2 linked regions of the Rattus norvegicus genome follow. The protein of the gene in region 1 interacts with the protein of each later gene in a pairwise test. Links are inferred from orthologs where the notes say so. Each region holds a gene or a part of one and is shown on either strand. Other genes may lie near its edges.

Region 1 (4,148 bases):
TTGCCCTTGTCTTCTCCAGACACTTTAAATGTGATCCTTCTGCTGGCCACTAATCACTCATTAGCAAAACTGTAATCATGGAACATGGGGCCATCTGGGAAATACATCAAGGGAGCTAACAGAGACATACTGAGACAGCGACTTCATGTTCCTTTAAATATGCGGATCCTAGCATGTAGTGGTCATATGTTAGTGTGTATATAAGCTTTGAACTACAAAGGAAGGGTCACCAGAAGGGAAAAATGAGAGTCATGGACATGGTGCCAGGACATGGGAGGCTATGGGGGTGGGGGTGGGCAGTTACAAGATGGGGGTATTAGGGGGCTGGGGATTTAGCTCAGTGGTAGAGCGCTTACCTAGGAAGCGCAAGGCCCTGGGTTCGGTCCCCAGCTCCGAAAAAAAAAAGAACCAAAAAAAAAAAAGATGGGGGTATTAGGGTTACTGGAGAAGGATGAGAAGAATTAACACAGACCAATAACATTTCACAATTCCATAGTGAAACTTAATATTATGTATGTATATATTATAGCTATATATAAAAACAGATGTTTATATACACAAACATACACACATGTGCACATACATATGCCAGTGCACATACACACAACATATGCACACACACACACATGCCTGCTGCTGTGTGTGCTAGGATTAAAGGCATGTGCCACAATCCTCAGCTTAATATATATTTTTGAAAGGCATAATCATAAAGTAATTTTTCCCCCTTTGGAGCTGAGGACCAAGTGTTCTATCACTGGGCTAAATCTCCAATTCCAGAAAGTAATTTTAAATGTTAGCAGTAGCCAGGTGGTGGTGGCAGCAGCACGCACCTTTAACCTGGGCACTCAGGAGGCAGAAGCATGATGATATCTGTGAGTTCAAGCCCAGCCTTGTTTACAGAGCCAGTTCCAGGACAGTCAAGACTACACAGAGAAAACTTGTCTCAAAAAAAGCAAAACCAAACAAAATAAAAGTAGTAAAAATAAGAAACTCTTGATGTAGTGGCATTATCACTTTTGTGGCTAGCTATCTAAATGCAATACATTTTAATTGTGTTAATCCTGAAAGAAAGTTACAAATAGAAATGTAGAGGGAGGGGGGAAAAACAGATTAGACTGTCCAGAAACAACAAGACGACATTGGAAGGAAAGCTGAGCTCAAGAGTCAGTTGGCGCCCGCCCTCCTGTAATTCCTCCGGCCGCGGTTTCCGCTCCCTTTCGCGCTCTGCACTCCCAGGCAGCCCGGGCCGTAGCTTAGCTCGGCTCTGATTGGCTCCTTTGAACGTCTACGTGCAATCGGATTGGCGGACCCGGGGAGCTTTACCGCGGTGAGTTTGAAACTGCTGGCACTCGGCCTCTAAGCTCCCGGAGTCGCTGCGTCCGCGCAGTCCGGAACTGCGGTGTGGCCACCGCGGGAACAGAGAGGTATGGCGTGAGTCCGGCAGGGTGCCGGCAGGGCCTGCGGGGGCTCCACGGGAGCCGGGGTGTCCCCCCGGGGGGGGACAGGCAGGACATCCTGTGAGTCCGGGGGACCCCCTTGTGGACGGGTAGAGCCTCCACGTGAGATCATGGTCTCCTGTGGACGGGTAGGGCCTCACCTGAGTCCAGGGTCCCCTATGGACCGTCATGGCCTCCCTGAGCCTGGGGTCCCCTATGGAGGTGCAGGACTCAGCTGAGCCTGGGATCGATCTCCTATGGATGAGCATGGTCTACCTTAGCCCGGGGTCCCCTATGGAGTTGTAGGGCTCACCTGAGCCTGGGGTCCCCTATGGATGGGCATGACCTCACCTAAGTCCGGGGTCCCCTTTGGAGGAGCATGGTTCCTCTGAGCCCCAGGTCCCCTATGGAGGGGCAGGGATCACCCGGGGCTGGGATCCTCTATGGAGGAACAGGACTCACCCAAGCCCGGGGTCCTGCAGACGAGCAGGCCTCGCTGGAGCCCCGGGTGTGGGCGGGGTGCCAAGTTGGGTCCCAGGCCCTGCTGGCTGCCTGTGCGGAGCTGGGCTGCACCAGACCAGCTGCTTTCGGAGGCCTTCAAGTCGGTACTGCCGGAGAAACAGACCCGTGGTCGTTCAAAAAGCAATCCCACCAAGGTGCAGAGCCAAGAGAGTGTAGGATCGTTTATTTTTAGTTGCGGGTGCTTATAGACGGCCACAGACGCTACCCAGGCTAAGAAACAGAGAGAGGGAGAACCGCGGATACCATCGCATCCTTCATCGTCTTAAAACATAAGTAATGATGAAGGTCTTGGTGCGTGGACCACCATACCCCTATCCCAACCCCCCAAACTTGGATACCCTGGGCAGCTTTTAACACCAGCCCCAGGAGGCTGGAAAAGGTTGGAAGGGATGAGCCCAGTTTTGAAGACACTTTAACTCTTTGCTGTCTGTGCAGAGGTGGCGGCACAGTTTAATGTACTATAGTTCTGTTACGTCTCTGTGTTGAAGAAAGGGGATTTGGGGGGGGGGGAGTAATTTCTTAAACATATACATAGTTGAGAGTCAAACTTAGGCGTATGAGAATCCCCAGGGTCTAGTGGGATGCCTGGCAAGGCTCTTGGACAGGTTTACATTTTCTTTTTGATTTTTTTTTTTTTAATTTGTTGAGCCCCTGTCTCCTTGTGCAGTCTCAAGAGCTGGGATTCCAGGCTGTGCCACCACACCCCACAGAGCTGATTTTACAGTGCAAAGGGATCTGTAAGGACCAGCTCACAAAAGGTCAGCTATTCCTTGATGTTCATTGGTAAGGATCTGCCCAGGGCTTTCAAGGAAAAGGCGCTTAGTTTTTTCTTTTCTTTTTTTTTTCTTTCTGCCATTCTTTGTGAGCCAAGGTTTTTTTTTTTCCTTCCTTGCTCATGATATTTTTGCCGGTGTGATTAGGGTTTTGTTCAAACTGTCTTAGTCAGGGTTATTATTGTTATGGTGAAAAGCCATGCCCAAAGCAAAGCAACTTGGGAAGGAAAGGGTTTAGTTGTCTTGTACTTCCTCGTCACAATTCCATAACAGAGGAAGTCTGAACGGGACCCTGGAGGCAGGAGCAGATGCAGAGGCAATGGAGGGGTGTTGCTTCCTGGCTTCCTTGACATTGCTTGCACAGCCTGCTTTCTTCTAGAAGGAAGGCCCCTCTGCCCAGGGATGGCCCCTCCCACAATGGGCTGAGCCCTCTCCCATCATCACTAATTAAGAGAATACCCTAAGGGCTTGCCTACAGCCCTATCAGAAGCATTTTCTTAACTGAGGTTCCCTCTCTGGTGACTTCAGCTTGTGACAATGTGACCTAAACTGGCCAGCTCCTCACCTCACATACTTCCTTCTAAGGGGCTTATTGGCATTCCCTCCAAGTCTTGAGTCTTGAGTGGGATTGTCTGTGGCTGGTTTCCGAAAAGATTTACTTCACTTGTGCAGCTAGGAGTTCATGCTGTTTCAAGTGAATTGAATGCTTTTAAGGTAAACAGAAGCTTTTATTAAAAAATGACTGTCCTTCCTTTCTAGGGGTTGGACTTTACAGTTGTACTTTGTTTCCTTCTCAGACAGGGCTGCAGCAAACTAGGCCACAGGTTGGCCTCGAACTTGCTCTTCCTTACGGTAGGATTACATCATGCACAGCTTCCTTCTCACAGATTCTCATTGTTTTAAAGGAAAAAAAAATAAAGCAATTTTAGTACAGTAGCAACGTGTTGAAATACTGGCATTAAAATCATTATACTTCCGTTTTGAAACTTTAAGTCCCGAGGGTCAGGGACTACTGCTTATTTCTTTTGAGACATAGTATCACTAAGTCGTTTAGCTGGCTGTGTGACAGTCTCCTTAGTAGCTGGGTCGACAGGCCTGCTTGGTTTGTGAATGTGAAGGGGCCATGTACAACACTGTATAGAATATACAAAGGCAGTGTCTGAGAAGGCTCGGAACGCTTCACTGCAGGAGCAGGTAAAGCCCAACAATACTGCCTGAAGGAATGGCGGATAGTGGCAGGCTATGCTGGAGGTGATGGAAAGCACTCCTCCGGGACGTCTGTCTTCCGGATACTTCCGACTGTTTGAATTATGACCACATGACCACAGCCATGTTTCTCGTCCTTTTAGGGTCCGTTGTAACCTGTTGAGTAACTATGGAGGACTATATCAAAATAGAGAAAATCGGAGAAGGTGAG
Region 2 (16,909 bases), on another chromosome or scaffold:
GGATGACATTTTGCAAAGGTCAAAATGGGGTGCCTGGGGTAGTGATTATCAAACACCCCTGAAAAGATGCACACAAGTATTGCCCAGTCATCATTTGTAGCGGCCAGCACTTGGAGCTGTTCTGCAGTATAGGGGATAACAATTTTTATTGGATGTTTACCAAAATGAGTTACAGCTACTTTTAGTCCTCTCGTAGCCAATCTTGCCACCGCTGAGGGGTACCACTCTATGGTTTTAGCCAGAGAGGCTTGTGGGTGAATCCAAAGTAAGGGGCCATTCTGCCATAACACCGCAGTGGATAATTTAGCAGTTTGCAAAACACATAGCTCAAAAGGTTTATCAGGTTGTATCCTTACTAATTGAGCCTCAGAAAGAGTCTTCTCCACCTTTCGGAGGGCCTCTACAGCTTCCATAGACAGGGATTGCGGGGATGTTAATTGCGGATCCCCTTCCAATATATCAAACAAAGGTTTTAACTCAGCAGTAGATATTTTCAGGAATGGCTGTAGCCATTAATTAATATCTCCCAAAAGTTTTTGAAAATCATTTAAGGTTTGTAGGTGATCTCGCCTGATTTCAATTTTTTGTGGAGTAATAACTTCTGGATGTACAACGGCTCCTAAAAACTTGCCCATCAGCGATCTCTGAACCTTTTCAGTAGCTATAGTTAGCCCGAACTGTTGCAAATGCTTAATTAAGTCAGCATATGCTATCTCAAGCTCTTGAGGTTTGGATCCACAGAGGAGTATATCATCCATGTAATGAAGAATCGTTAGTGATGGATATCGCCCTCTGACAGGAGTCAGGGCCTGTTGTACATATAACTGACACATAGTGGGGCTGTTTGCCATCCCCTGAGGCAAGACTTTCCATTGATAGCACTCATCAGGCTCCACATGATTTATTGCAGGTAGAGTAAAGGCAAACCTCTCTTTATCCTTAGGATGTAAAGGAATAGAGAAAAAGCAATCCTTAATATCTATTATAATAACCTCCCATTGCTTTGGCAAAGCAGAAAGAAGCGGGAGACCACGTTGGACTGATCCATACAATTTCATTTGTGTATTAATTGCTCTAAGATCATGCAATAGTCTCCATTTTCCTGACTTCTTTTTTATAACAAATATTGGAGTATTCCAGGGTGAGCTTGAAGGTTCCAAATGTCCTAATTGCAACTGTTCCTTTACTAATTGGTGAGCGGCCTCTAGCTTTTCAGAGGAGAGAGGCCATTGAGGAACCCATACAGCCTCATCTGTTATCCACGGTATGGGCATAGCCCCCTCAATGGCCTCTAAGAAAAACCCAGACCGTGACGATCGAGTTTTGCAGTGGGTTGAATTGGCTCTGTAGTTCCTTGGTGATGCTTACCAATGTCTTTTCCTGGGACATACCCCATGTCCCTCACCATTCTCTGTGCTGGTAGGGAATACTCATTCATAAGTTTAAGCCCTAACTCAGCCAAAATATCTCTTCCCCATAAATTGACAGGTAAAGGAAGAACATATGGGACGAAACTACCCTCCTGTCCTTCTGGGGCTTTCCACTTTAAGGGCCTAGAGCTAACAGTTGGACTAGCTTCATAACCCAAACCTTGTAATGAATGGGAAGATTGAGTAATGGGCCATTTTGTAGGCCACCATTTAGTGGAGATAATGATTTTGTCTGCTCCTGTATCTAGAATTCCGTCAAATGTCTTTCCTTCAATGGTTAGGATCAGAGTAGGTCGAGCGTGTAAATTGACCATAAGATATGCTGAATCAGTGCCCGTAGAGCCAAAACCCTTCTTTCCTCTTTTTGTACTTCCTGATTTAAACTGGGCGTGACAACTGGGTAAAACAAGCAATTGTGCAATCCGGTCACCTGGGGAAATGGAGAAGAGACCTCGTGGGGAGGAGCACATGATCTTCAACTGGCCCTCGTAATCTTGATCAATAACCCCAGGATGTACCACCAATCCCTTAAGAGTAGTAGAGGAGCGTCCTAAAAGCAGCCCAACTGTATTGGGTGGTAAAGGGCCATGAAAGTCAGAGGGGATAGGCTGCACCCCCATTGGAGGGGTTAGGACGATTCTGGAGGTGGCACGGAGGTCCAATCCTGTGGAACCCAGAGTGGCTCTCCTGGGGAAGTTTGACGAGCCCAGGTTACTGGGGAGCTGGTTGCCCCATATATTTGAGGGCCCTGAGGACGGGGGCCCTGTTGGACATTTTTTGACACATCCAAGGGTTTCCCCATTATGTCCTTTACTGACCTGCACTCACTGGCCCAATGCTTCCCTTTCTTACACTTTGGACACAGTCCTGGGACTTTCTTTGGATTAAAGCCAGGATTCTGATTCCTGCACTCCCTTTTCATATGACCAGGCTTTCCACATTGGAAACACGTGATGCCTCTACTAGAGAGGCCAGGCCGCCTTTGTCCTTGTAATATAGCCGTGGCTAGACCGGTATTGGTAAGTGGTCCTTCTATTTTCCTACAGGCTTTCAGCCAAGCCTGCAGCCCCTTAGATTTCCAGGGGAGGATTGCATTGCGGCATTCTTTGGTACATTGTTCAAAAACTAACTGTTCTATTAAGGGCATGGCCTGGTCTTGGTCTCCAAAAATCCTACCAGCAGCCTCCATCATGCAGGCCACAAAATCTGAGAAAGGCTCACTTGGTCCTTGGATGACCTTGGTCGGGTTCCCAGACACCTCTCCTCTGTTAGTTAGAGCTTTCCATGCCTTGACAGCACTAATAGCAATCTGACCATATACCTCCAAGGGGAAGGCAGTTTGATTATTGGCCCATTGCCCTTGTCCAGTTAACATATCAAATGTCCAGGCAGGTTGTCCTGCTGCTGCATTTGCGCGTGCTTGTGCTTGGCAAGCATCGTGCCACAGTGCTTTCCACTCAATATACTGTCCCATGCTAAGGAGACAGGCCTTTGTCACAGATTGCCAGTCTGCTGGAGTCATGGCAATGCTTGCTAGTCTTTCTACCTGTGACATGGTAAAATTAGCAGTAACCCCATAGGCACGAACAGACTCTGCCAGTTCCTTAATTTGCTTGTGTTCTAGGGGCTGATGAGAACGAACACCATCGTCCTCAAACACAAGAAACATTTGCCCGAGTGCTCGCTGTGTTTCAGGCGGACAGAAAGAGTACTCACACTTCCCCTCTATATAAGGCGGGGGAACAGAGGCCACCGAGGCATTAATAACTTTCGGTTTCTTCACAGTGGCTCTCCACCTAGGCCCATATCTTTCTTCCTCATATCTGGCTGCCTCTTCCTCTAATTCCTCCTCCTCCGACTCTGACAACTCTTGCTCAGAGTCACTACCAGTCAGTTCTAAGGCTTCTAATTCTTTTAATGGATACAAAGTATCCTCTCCGGATGACTTGTACTTCGTCCTCCGGGGCATACCTATTTTTTCCTCCGGCGGCATTTCTTCCGCCTTTTGTATCTCTTTCACTTTTGTTTTAGTAACCTTTTTCTTTTTGCGCGCTCCTAATTTCTCACTCCGCTCCGTTTCTGACATGCTCTCTTGAATGTTCTGTCCTGCCTTGACTATGTCCTCACATTTTAACACAACTAGTAAGAAGACAACAGTCACTATAAAAACGAGCAACAATCCCTCCACGGCAAGACTAAATCCAAAAAGGGGCATGCCTCTCAGAGCTTACCTTTTAATTTACCTTCTCGCAGTTCTGAATCCTCTTCAGCACACTGAAGGGTCCCCTCGGCACCGGCGATGTTGGTTCTCGGGTTTCGGCACCACTTGTCGGGCGCCCAACGTCCCGCCAGCAAGAACGACGCACAGCAACAGGATTCTTCTGTGAACAAACCTTTACTGTGGTACAGCTCTCTTGAACAGGGACCCCGAGTGGCAAAGTCGCTTGCCTTATATACACAACAGTATGCTAATAAACTCTCAGGGATTGGTGGGGCACGGATCACCCCACTATCACCCCACTACTTGTCCTCCAGGGATTGGCGGAGAATGAATCACCCCACTAGCATGGTACCGCCCCTCATTAGCATATTAACGGCCAACTGACACCTGGTGCAAAAACCGCACATGTGCAGTACCGTTGTTCACCACTGGGGGGCGCCCTACATCACATTATTGTATGGCCGCCCTAGCAAGGGGACAAGCCTGCACATGCGTGGTAAGTTGTCGACATCCAGACGAGGCTGGATGTCGGCGCCATCTTTGTTTTGCCGCGCTGCTCTCTACATTATGTAATGTTAATATTTGATATGCACCTTAATTTTGCTACTGTTAGGTAATGTTAATGTTTGATATGCACCGGATCTGATATTCAACCCCCATGGGGTCGCGACCCACAGGTTGAGAAGCACTGCTCTAGAGTAAGCAAGCTTAGGTCCAATGAATAAGATACTAATTTGGGAGCCAGTTCAGATGGGGACAGCCCTCTGGAGAGACATAAGCTATGAAATAATTGTGGATACTGACTAGGTAATATGATCACAGAAGAGGCTTTACTATCTGATAGAACCATCTGAAATTGAGCCACTGTCTACACCTATACTTCCGACATAGAAACCAGTTACCGCCAAGCAAGTGACATCCACAAGATGCTACACCTAAGTTGCTCTTGCTCTGATAAACCTGGTCATGTGGTTCCTGTGTGCAGTGGTTTGAAAATTCTATTAGGAGGTGTGGCCTTTCTGGAATAGCTGCGGCCTTGTTGGATGAAGTGTGTTCATCCTTGTCGGATGAAGGTTTTCAGGGCTCCTCATGTTCAAGCTCTGCCCAATGCTGAAGAGACCCCCATCCAGGCTGCCGTGGAAGACAGTCTTTCCTGGTTGCCTTCAGATAAAGATATAGAACTCTTGGTTCATCCAGCACCATGACTGTCTGGATGCTGCCATGCTTCCTGCCATGATGATAATAAATTGAACCTCTGAAACTGTAAGCCAGCCCTGTAAGGCTCCAAGTGAGTCTTAACTACCGGGAGACCCTCCCAAGTGAGACACAAGAATGGAGTTCAATGCAAACACAAGAGGTTTATTTGTTGGGGTCGACCCTCAATCAGCCCTTCATGGCGAGTGACTAGAAGGTGACCCCAAATGGCTATAACAATCAGTTTTTATACCTTTTAGGGGTACAGGTTGCATCGGCAAGGTTACAGTTTAAACTTATTGGCTAAGTATATCGATCTTTGAATCTACTGGCTAGCAAGCATATGACATGCATTCGAACTCTATCTGGGACCAGAGGGTCAGATGACTCTCAGTCAGTACATTCTGCAGTTTCTCAAGAATGTCCCTGCTCCTCCCGAGAACTGTGGGTGAAGAATGGAACTTGGCCTAGCCTTGACCCAAGGCAGGAAGCTGGTACTTGGCCTAATTTTGACCTGAGGTGGTAGATGTAAGGCTGGTGAAAGCCCCTAGGGTCCTTCAGTCCCAATTAAATGGTGTCCTTTACATGAGTTGCCTTGTTCACAGCAATGGAACCCTAACTAAGACAATGTGAAAAAGTTTGCAGCTTTGTGGTAGAAAATCCCTTGAGTGCTGTAACTAGAGCTTACAGAGAGTCATTCTGGCAGAAGTGTAGTAGGTTGCAATCCCAAGGAAAATGCAGAAGTGGTAAGCCAGGCTTATGAGGCTTCAAGGAATGAGTCCTATCAGAAACTAGGCTGACGAGCATTTTTTTTTCCTAGTTCCTTTTCCTCCTGCTATGATGGAATGTCCTGACCAGAACCACTTAAAGGAGAAAGGTTCACAATTAAAGGCCACAGTCTGTGTCACAGGAAGTCCTAATGGTAAAAATCTTAAGGAGACGGGTCTTGATTTATCCGGACAGGAAACGGAGAAGCAGGAGAGAATTCTCTCAGCCGGCTTGTGCCCTCTAGCAGATCTGTAACTAATACCTAGCGCCTGACCTTTGCCAAAGAAGATCAGGTGATTCGAAAGCTTCAGTTCAGGATGTGGCCGGCATAGAAACGAGCGAGCATATGGCTTTGGAGAGGTGGCTCAGACCTGTGTTCCTGCTGCCCTTACAGACCTGTGTTCAGTTCCCAGCACCCAACGGGGACAACTCACAATTGCCTGTGGGTCCAGTGAGTTCAAAGCCCACTTCTGGCCTTCACGGGCACAAGGCATGTACACAGTGCACATTCACGCATGCGCACACTCATACATACATACATGAATTAGGAAGAAATAAATCTTCAAAAGGGAAAGAAACTCGGGAGGACTCATTTCCTAAAGCCTATACAGACGTGTTGCATGAGCCACTTTTGTGTTCACAGTGAGCAAAAAAAACCTGGACTAGGCAACTCAAGGGAGGCTTTCTTCTGGCCCACTGTTTCAGACATGTCGTTGTGTCACACGAGTGGGTGTAGAGAAGCAGAATAACGCACTCAGTGGTGGAGAGGATGCTGGGGGGCGGGGGCACTGGTAGTAGAAAGGCGTCATATATCCCCAATGCCTGCCCTTAGAGGCCTACTCTCTCAAATGAGGATTCCAGAGTCAAAGGAGACAGTTCCAGACACGCCCTCCTCAGAATTACTAGAACTTCCCAAAATAGTGCCCTCAGCTGGGCTGACATCCAGGACATGACCCTGTGAGGGATATTTCAGTAGCAAATGCTTATGGGTAAGCAAGTGAGGCCGGATGCAGGGTGTGGTTTTGTGGGGTTTGCTGTGGTACCGGCTTCCCTAGGTCAGCTCCTCAGCCCACATTCCCAGTGCTCCCACCCCTGAGCCTCTTGCCCACCTTACTCCACACACAGGGCACTGCTTCTCATCACACCTCGTGTGTATCTTGATCGAGGCTCCTCTTATGCATTGTTCTATGTCCCATTGTGAATTTGTAGTGGGTGGTAACTAGTTCCCTATGTCGACTGCAACATCATCTAAGGAAGCAGACTTACATTAAAAGAGAATATCTGTAAAGTAGCATTTCTTGCTTTGTTGTTCTAGCTTAATCTTTGAACTTTGGATATGAGCATTCAATATGGACAGCATGAATCTAAAAGTGTTCACTGACTACAGAAAATCCCAGTGGGACTCCGTGTTCATTTTGTCCACGGCACTAGCATGTTTTATGTGTCAGGTTGAGGAAGGAGCCTCGGTTGAAGAAATGTCTCCAGGAGATCTGGCTATAAGACATCAATTAGTGATCAGTGGAGGAGGGTCCAGTCCACAGTGGGCAGTGCCATCCCTGGGCGGTGGTCCTGCCTTCTATAAGAAAGCAGGCTAGCAAGCCAGGGGAAGAAAGCCAGTAAGCAGCATCCCTCCATGACTGCTGCATCAGCTCCTGCTTCCAGCTTCCTCCCTTGTGTGAGTTCCAGCCCTGACTTCCTTTGGTGATGAACAGCAACATGTAACTGTAAGCTGAGTTCCTCCCCAACTTGTTTCTTGGCCATGGCATTTCCTAACAGTAAGGGAAGTCCTAACTACGGCATGTCCTGACCTGGCTAACGAAGCCAGGTGCTCAGATATTTGGGAAAGCACTATTATGAGTATTAGGGGGTGTAATTTACGTTTAAGTTGGTAGACTTTGGGCGAAGCAGGTGCCCAAAGTACTTCCATAGTACTCAGCTGGAAGCCTGGGGACCACAACGGATAAGATTTTCCTTGCACAAGGAGGATTCTTTGACTTACGGTTTTCACCGTTCATTTACAACACAGACTCTTTCTAGTCCCACAACAATCTGCCTTTGAACTTGAACCATAATCTTCTGGGTCAACAATCACTAACTTCTTACTGGATTTTGAACTCATCAGCATCCCCAAGCCAAAGGAGACCATTTTACACACACACACACACACACACACACACACTTCTATTTCTCTGGAGGACCATGACTAATTCAATTTCTAGGTCAAATCGTGCTGTCTTCTTTACCTACCTACTAGCCCTGTGCCCACTGCCTTTGACATAAGGGTAACAGAGGAACTTCTGCTTTCCTCAAATTTCAGGGGAGTGGGGGGTTGGGGGTGGGGGGTACACCTAGAGAGAAGATTCAGCAGTAAAGAGCATATACTGCTCTCAGATTTCAGTTCCTAGCCCCCAAATAGCAGGCTCAGAGCACAATTTTATTATTGGTACTGACTGTGTAGAAGCCTGCCAAGGGAGACCCCACACACATGCACACCATATTTTATCTCCTTCTCATACAGTATTAGCACATTTCTACCTCGTGAACAGGAAGGCTGATCTACACATTAACTTTTGTACATCCTGGAACAGTAAAGAACATTCAGCATCGAGTATGCCTATGTTCTTTCTTTAGTATTCTCCATAGTAGAAGTCATAACTAGATATGACTTCAGTGACAGTTTTCACATGCACGCCTCCGATGCAGGGCTCTCCGCCACCAATCACCACGCCCTTAAAGTTAAAATAATTTAAAAGAAAAACCTTAAGAAAGCCGACAAATCTCCCTACCCTGCTATCATTCAGAAAATACCATCAACTGTCTCCAAAGCGCTGGGCTTGTGGGGAACCCCTTCGCCCCGCCCCTTGTCACGTCCACGCCCCCAACTGGCGGAGGGGCGGAGCCCTCCAGTCAATCCATTTTCTTCCGGGCCCGCCTTCCGCGCGTCTTTCAAAGACTTCCTCCGAACCAATGAGCAGTCAAAGGCTGAGCCAGGCCACGGACTAAGAAACAGAGCGAGGATATGATTGGTTGCTAGAACGCCCCGCGCCACCTCCCACGCGAGCGGACCAATGAGCTGACGGTGGCGGGCTCGGCGCGGGCCGCGTCGTGGATGCTGTGAGGGCGGCGGCACTGGTTACTGCGTGTGGCGGCCCGCGATGAAGCCGGTGAGTGGGGCCGGCGGGACCCGAAGGATTCTCGCCGCTGGGGCAGACGCTGGCCGGCCTCCGCTGCGTTGCTGGACGGCCAGCGGTTTGACTCGCCTAGTAACCTCCCTGCGCGTCGGGGAGGCGGAGCGGAGGCACCGCGGTTCCCTGACCGCCTGTGGGGGCTCATGACGGCCCTGCCAGAGAGGGCCAAACCATTCAGCTTGACACCTCGGATGCAAAGTCTGTCACGACCTGGTTTGTGGGTGGCTTGATACCTCAGATGCAGAGGCTGTCACGGTCGGGTTCGTGGGTGGTTTGGTGCCTCAGATGCAAAGGCTGTCAGGACCCTGTTTGTAGGTGCGGTCACGATAGCTACCCTCCCTCAGTGACCTCTTGGCACCGCATCCTGTTCCCCTCAGATTATCTGGGCCTTGGGAAAGCAGGGACGTCTAGCCTGTTAGGATTTATCCACACCTAGCTGGGAGGGGTGGAGTGAATGGGTCACTCAAGCGTAAACTCTTGTTTATAGGAGAAAAGAAAAAGGGTCTTAGCCACGAGTTGGAAGCCCCTCCTGACCTATAGTTTCTACCTCACAGCTGGTACCCTACTTAAAGGCTTCATTTGGGTTCCGTTGCGTTTTATACCAAAGAGCAATCCAAAGAAATCGCAATCTATAGCTTGTCAGTTATCATCTGTCCCTCCAGCAAGACTGAAGCCAAGCAGTCAGGTGGCTACTCTTGCAAGCCCTGTGTCCACTGTGTCAGCTGTCCAGAAGAGGAAGATATCCGACCTCTGGTATAGAGGGATTGAACAAAGTAGAACCCACCATTTCCTCCTCCCGAGGTCTGCCTGCTTTCTGGTCTCCACCTTAGCACACAGGAGTGAATCCTCAGTACATCGCTGCCTGGGAAGGGGTAGATCTGTCCCATTCTGGATTGACGTGGGAATCACTCGGCCACAGCATACTTTCTGACATTCATTAAAAATGATGTTTCGTTTTTTTTGTTTTTTCACACTTACTGTTAAAATGTCTGATCTCAGATGATTCCAACTAGGGAGTGGGGAAGAATATTTTTTTTCCTTCCATATAGAAATGCATCCAGAACTGAGTTACACCCGCTTAGATCAGCATATAAGGTCCATCAGAATTCCTGTAATCCAGTAATTCATAAAGATAAGGGGAGACTGGTTGTCTCTATGTCTACTCACTTGCTAGGCTGTATGGGGTTATTTTTCTTAGAAACGGGGTGAGCAGTGCTCACTGACTCTCTTGTCATCTCTACTAGAATGAATACAGAGTCCTCCACCCCTCCACCCATATGCTCTCTTGTGTTTTCTGTAGAGCCAACCTGGCCATGTATACGATTGCTCTGGAACTTGAACCTTCGTCTCCCCACTGCTGAATCAAAACTTTGCACCATCGTACCTGGCTCAGCTCTTGAATTTTCACACTGACTGCTTTAACTTCCCAGTCTACCTAGAAACCTGCACTTTCTTCAAAGCTTAGCTCAATGGTCTCTGTCAAACCCTTCAGTGCTCCCTAAATGATCAGTCAGTCATCCCTTCTGCTCTGCAGCACATGGTTTCTGCTAGTTTAACACGATTGCCATTCTGTAATCTTGCACACACCGCTGTCTCTCTAGCTATGCTGAAGGTAGACAATGTACCACAGGGTCTTCAGGTCTTTGGAGCACACAAATAGAAGGTCTAAGACATGTTTGAGGTGGAATGGGCAAATCATACTTCAGAATTGAGGAAAACCGATCCAGGATAAACTCAGGTGCCTTGTCTGATATTATCCAAGGACCTCCAATTCTACCCAATATACCAGTGCTGTGATTAATCAGAGAGTCAACAGTAATAATCTATTTTTGGTATTGCTGATCTCTCTGATAGCCCAGATCAATGACTAAAAAAATTGCAAATATTGATTCAAAGGGTGTTTAATCATGGATCAGCTATGTGAAGATTACATGCAAATGTTCCTTTTAGTAATTTAACATAGCATTTCTTTTGAAGCCCATTTCAATACAAGCAAGCGAGTTTGATTCTTCAGACGAAGAGCCTGCTGACGACGAGCAGACTCCAATTCAAATTTCATGGTATGTCAGCACTTCAGTGGTGAGTTACAATATTCATACAATATTCATGGTATGTCAGCACTTCAGTGGTGAGTTACAATATTCATACAATATTCATGGTATGTCAGCACTTCAGTGGTGAGTTACAGTATTCGATGTTACATCATATTTGGGCAAGGTCAGGCTTGTAACTGAAAATACCAAGCATTCTCTGGGCCAGTTATAGAGTTTTAATTTTTAAGTGACTCTCTTACTCCATGATTTGTTTTTATTATCTGATAGCAAATGAAACTACACTCCCCCCCCCCCTTTTAGTCCTTTAGACATGGAGAAAATAAAACTCTTTGTAGCAGCAAGTAAACAAGAGGAAGGTTTTTTTAAAATTATCTCCAACCAAGATTTATGTATTCTTTTAGAGTTAGAGAAACAGTAATGCCATCTGGGTGGCAGTGACACAGCTTTAATCACAGCACTCGAGAGGCAGAGGCAGGCGGAGCTCTGAATTCAAGGCCAGCCTGGTCTACAGAGAGAGTTCCAGGACATCCAGGGCTACACAGAAACCCTATCTCAACAAAAAACAAAACAAAAACAAAAAAAAAATGCATCTGAAACAGTAATGCCCAAGATAGGATATTTAATAATTAATCATTAGGTTAAATCCTATTTAATACACAGAACTATTGGTCATGGTGATGTGTCCGTCAGTAGACCATGTAAAATAAAAGCCATATCATATAACTGTTTCTGCCCAACATACATGTCTTAAGGGAGGGAAGGTTCCTTTTTGAGATTTCCGTGCATTGTAGCAGGGGACAGGTGCATGTCAGGACACAGGAACTCAGACCATGACTGTCAGGAAGAAGCAGAGTAGGATGGTAACATGAAGTAGCCAGGGAGGGACATGCCCCAACATGTTTTCCAGTCAGCCAAGCGCTCTTCCCCACTCTCCTGCAGTCCATTCTTTAGGTTCAGTACCTGCGCCTTACCAATCCCTTAGGTGGTTCTTAGTCCAGTCAGGTGGACCAACATCAGTCGTTAAAAAGTTTCTCATCAATTAATTCCCAAGTCTTCTCTGCAGCCAGCAACTGAATCCCCATAAAGCCGCTCATCCCCACAAAGCCAGCAGTCTTACCCGGTAATAGCTTACCTGTCTACTCATGCCCCAGCACAGAAAATACAAGTTCTGATCTCTCGAGGAAACACCCTTCCCCTCCACAGGAAGAGTGAGGACTGAGGATTGTCTTTTATTCTGTCATCAAATAAGCTCTCAGCTCTGTTCTAAACTCAAAACTAAATCTAGTTCTTCACCCCAGCTCTTTTCCCATGATGGCTTTTCTCAGCTCATCTCCTGACACTCAGATGGGGAGCCTCTGTCCCTGGGTATTGCAAACAAGACTGAGTTCTAGAAGCCTGTTCCATTTTAATCAAAAGTATTGACAATAAAGGATGGTAGCCTGTTCTCTTCATATGAAATTATATCTATGAGGCAGTTTTACCAAAAGTCTATGCAATCCTTCCAGCATCTCGAAACTGAGTAACACTGGTCCTAAGCTTTTGGGGTCACACCACAGGGTCACTGGGTCTTCCTGTAGAGTATCCAGGAACCATTACCTTCATGGTAAAGGCTTAACTCACTCATTTAAGATTTAATTGGCATTAAAGTAAGGACGGCCCCGTTTCTGTACTTTTACTCGTTCTAGGCCTTTCCTGTTCCCCACGTTTAACTATGGACTGGTGTTTTGTGACTGCTGTAAAATGCTAAAGCACCCTTCCTTACTCGGTGGCAGGCACTCTTGTTAGGTAGGCGTAATTTCCATTTGTGCAGTTTTAAAAACTAAACTTTATACATTTTTCTTCATAGGCTACCTCTGTCACGAGTGAATTGTTCTCAGTTTCTCGGTTTATGTGCTCTTCCAGGTAGGTGAGGACACTCCGGTGGCTTCCTATTAATATGAAGGCAGATTCTGGTGAGCTGACAGGTGGCTCGGTGCATACAGACTGGTGACCTTGTCTTAGAGAAGCCTTCAGGAACACCTTCTGCATCCAGGGCTGCACTTTGAACTTACCCAATCCAGTGAGACTTAAAGCCAGGCAGAAATGAGGTTGAGACCATGGCCAGGAGCTCCCGCACCTGGACCCCTTCAGGGAAATTGACCAAAATTAATATGTACATTTAAAATGGAACCGAAACATGAATAGCCATGTGAAATGACTTTCTACAGTAGCTGTGTGTGTGTGTATATGTGTGTGTGTGTGTGTGTGTGTTTAAATACGCTTTCTTACACAACTGCAAACTGATTGTTCTGTTTTGTTTTGTTTTTACTTTCCTTATCTGTAGGTTGTAAATTTAAAGATGTTAGAAGAAACATTCAAAAAGATACAGGTAGGTTCACTCTGATAAAAGCCCACTACTGGTCTTGTTTTAAGCCTGAAACTCTGTTGAACTATATTCTCTTCTCAGTATACAAAATGAAATCTTATGGCATTTCTAACTGTGAACTCTCGAATGTGAAAAGGTATTGGTGATGAGCCCAAGGGCTCATCGTTTATTTATCTGAACACAGCTTTGTTTTCCGTAGTCCTATTTACACATACAAACTTTGATGACAGACTCTGTCTGTTTGAGGGAGAAAAGAGTGCAAGTAAGAAACCTGCACGCTGCAGTGCCCGTGACGTTGAACGCACTGTTCCCTGTGGACATCACTGTGGTAGTTTAAATTAAACCCAAGGGCTGGAGAGATGGCTCAGTGGTTAAGAGCACCGACTGCTCTTCCAGAGGCCCTGAGTTCAATTCCCAGCAACCACATGGTGGCTCACAACCATCTGTAATGGGATCTGATGCCCTCTTCTGGTGTGTCTGAAGACAGCTACAGTGTACTCATATATAATAAATAAATAAATCTTAAAAAAAAAAAAAAAAATTAAACCCAAGCTGGGAGCCTAGGGATCCGCCTTCAATCAGATGTAGAAACCAGCATTTGGGTGGCCAAGGCAGCATGAATCGCTTTCCTTGTTCACAGATGCTGACCAATAGTTTTTAAAGTCATAATACTTTATTCTACTTGTTCTGGAATATCAATTAATATACTTTATTTCTTACCTATCAAAAAAGATGAGAAGAAAGTCAGGCATGGTAGCACACGCCTTTGACCCTAGCAGAGAGGCAGCAGATCTCTGCATTTAAGGCTAATGTGGTCTACACAGCAAGCTCCAGGCTAGCCAGAGCTACGGAATGAGACCCTGTACCAACAAAAAGGACAAAAAAGAGACTCATGCTTGAATTGACCCTTGAGGAATTTCCAAACATGTTCTGCGTTAGGTATCCATACAGCAAGAGGAGATATCTTCCATGTTCCATTTGGAAGACATTAAGCTATAAGCAAATACTATTTAGATCATTGGTTCAAAACTAGTATTACACATTTTGGAATTTCCTGTTTATTTTAGTGGCTTTTATAAAAAGAAGATTCTAGTTTTTTCATTAATGTTTTTTTAAACAATGAAGTCACACATAGAATCCATTACTTAGAACAGATCAAAACACTTGGTGAGGAAGACATAGAATGTCCCTGTGGTGTGTCCTCTGGAAAAGCCTGAAAACCACTGTATTAGAATCTAGCCAATGTGAATGGAGACATTATGACAAATTACTCCCTCTTCTGAAAGCTTCAGTAACCACATGTTCTTTTACAATTGTAAAAATGCACAATGTTTAGGCCACATTCCCCTCCTTTCTGCCTTCCTTCCTTCTCTCTTTAGACCCTTTCCTTCCCCCACATAATCTCAGTTCACTCTATTATATATGTATATATAATATATATTACATGTAATAGGAATATCATATATATGTACATCACACACAGATATTATATTAAGATCATTTTGATCTTTATTTTCTTTGTCTTTGAAACAATGTGTATGCTTTACACTTTAACTGCAAAGGCTCTGTACTTGGGTAGGTGAGTGTCCACAGTTGGGGCTGGGAATTATTTATTTTGAAATAATCATCCAGAATGAACAGTGCCATAAAGAAGGTTCAGAAGCTAAGAGAGGGCTCAGTGGTTAAAAGTGGGTGCTGCTCTTGCAGATGACCAGCATTCAGTTCCCAGAGCCCACATGGGTCAGCTTATACCTGTAACCGCAGATCCTGGAGATCCAAAGCCCTCTTCTGAAGTCCACAGGCACTGCACACACATGCATATACCCCTATCCTGACGTACATTTATATAGTTAAAAAAGAAAATCATCTCTTTTAAGTTCTAGTATAAAATCCTATAGAAATATTTCTTGATTCCCACTGTTAAAATGAAAAGAGCTAAACCATATACAGTTAGTGCAGCTAATGCCTTATTTTCTCAAGACCTGGTCAGTAGAAGTTAACCGAGGTTGGTGTGGTGCAGTGCAGAACAAGGGAAGCATACGGGAGCTACAGCTGGAGACAATTTATGATACTTGCCTGAGTGTGAACATGGCTGATCCGGGGGGTGGGGGTGGGATTAAAAATAGTGCTATCTATTCCTTCTGAGGAGCTTAAATCCTAATTATTAAAGGCAGTATTTATTGCAAGGGAAAAGAACCAAGTTTTAATGCAAGAATATCAATACCGTCAGCCAATCCTGAAATTCATTCAAAAGCATTTTACTCATAAATCAATTTAGTTTAGTTCTAACCAGCTTTTGTTTCAGGTACTTTCATTAGATATTTCACACTGACAAAGTTTCACTGGTTACTAGCTTGGCTGAAGAACGTAACTCCATATTCTCTCTCATGATCATATTTAAACGTGTCCTGTTTTACACATGCATCTGTGTGTGTCTTGGTCTTTTGGCAGAGGAACTAAAGAGCTCTGGGATCCAAGACGTATTTGTTTTCTGCACCAGAGGGGAACTGTCAAAATATAGAGTCCCAAACCTTCTGGACCTCTACCAACAATATGGAATTGTCACCCATCATCATCCGATCCCAGATGGAGGGACTCCCGACATTGGCAGCTGCTGGGAAATCATGGAGGAGCTGGCCACCTGCCTTAAAAACAACCGAAAAACCCTGATACAGTATGTTCTTCCCCGGATACCACACAAGCAACATTCCAATCAAAATGACTCTTGAGCTGCTCAGCCTAACCTCCCCCTCTGCTGTCAGGACAGAGAGCTAACGTACCCACACACTTCCTGTTACCACACCTCAAGGGCATTGGCAACAAGCAGTGTTTAGAGTAGGAGTTCAGGCATTTTCCTTTCCTCTAGTCTCCACCAGTGTGTGGCATTACTCTGGCTCTCATGTCTCCTAACTTGTCATCTCAGCCTGCCAGTTGTTTTCGGTAGCAAAGAAGTCACTTGAACTTTCAAAGTTCACAGAAAAAAAAAAAATCCCTCATCAGTAAGTGGTCTTTTTAAATATGACTTCTACGGACTGAGGAGATAATCAGTTGGCAAAGTACTTGCCACTCAAATGTGAGGGCCTGAGGTTGACCCCCAGCACCCATGAAAGAGCCTGGCATGGTGGAGTCCCATAGAAAACAGCACACCCATCATGAGGTAACAAAGGCAAAATTTCAGAATACACATCTATAGAGAATTCCTTTGTAAGTATATGCAAAATAGCATCAGATGTAGCTACTAAAAATTACAGACATTTAGACCCATTTTTCAAACAGACTCTAAACTTGTTTTTCAAAGATCCTAAAGCAACCTGTATCTTTGCAGATACCAAAGTAGTTTAGTTTAGTGGGGCTCAGCAAATTCTACCCCAGCAGCCAAAATCCCCACCTGATGCTTAAACAGAAAAGCCTGGTGGATGGGTGATCCTGCAATGGGAGAATGCTTGAGGCATCTGATGGCTGGACGTTTCCTTATTTCCTTACAACATACTTTTGAGGATCTCTGAGGGTGATTTAAGGAATGTTTTCCAGCTCTGAGAGTTGACTGTTGTTTTCCTGCAAGGTTGCAGACCTGTTGACATCTTCACAGTGCTGGGTCATGTCCACTAACATTCAGAGGTTTCCTTCTCCCTCCAGCCTGTGTTCTAAGTCCTTTATAAACACTGCCTTGTGCAACCCTCACTCTGATT

Evidence for each region.
Region 2: the proteins of Cdk1 (region 1) and Cdkn3 interact in a two-hybrid assay, tested with the Homo sapiens proteins (2 studies listed by BioGRID and IntAct). The link is inferred for Rattus norvegicus from reciprocal best matches to the Homo sapiens genes CDK1 and CDKN3.

Annotation. Positions count from the first base shown.
Region 1 is NC_086038.1:19,263,945-19,268,092, forward strand, and holds the start of Cdk1 (cyclin-dependent kinase 1), read left to right. Parts: upstream 1-1,348; 5' UTR 1,349-1,424; intron 1,425-2,625; exon of another isoform or gene 2,626-2,716; intron 2,717-3,533; exon of another isoform or gene 3,534-3,583; intron 3,584-4,080; 5' UTR 4,081-4,106; coding exon 4,107-4,143; intron 4,144-4,148. UniProt on the Homo sapiens protein: Plays a key role in the control of the eukaryotic cell cycle by modulating the centrosome cycle as well as mitotic onset; promotes G2-M transition via association with multiple interphase cyclins.
Region 2 is NC_086033.1:22,493,679-22,510,587, forward strand, and holds the start of Cdkn3 (cyclin-dependent kinase inhibitor 3), read left to right. Parts: upstream 1-8,719; 5' UTR 8,720-8,768; coding exon 8,769-8,777; intron 8,778-10,764; exon of another isoform or gene 10,765-10,778; coding exon 10,779-10,861; exon of another isoform or gene 10,862-10,863; coding exon of another isoform or gene 10,864-10,880; intron 10,881-12,701; coding exon 12,702-12,757; intron 12,758-13,178; coding exon 13,179-13,223; intron 13,224-15,671; coding exon 15,672-15,894; coding exon of another isoform or gene 15,895-15,949; exon of another isoform or gene 15,950-16,221; intron 16,222-16,909. UniProt on the Homo sapiens protein: May play a role in cell cycle regulation. Dual specificity CC phosphatase active toward substrates containing either phosphotyrosine or phosphoserine residues. Dephosphorylates CDK2 at 'Thr-160' in a cyclin-dependent manner.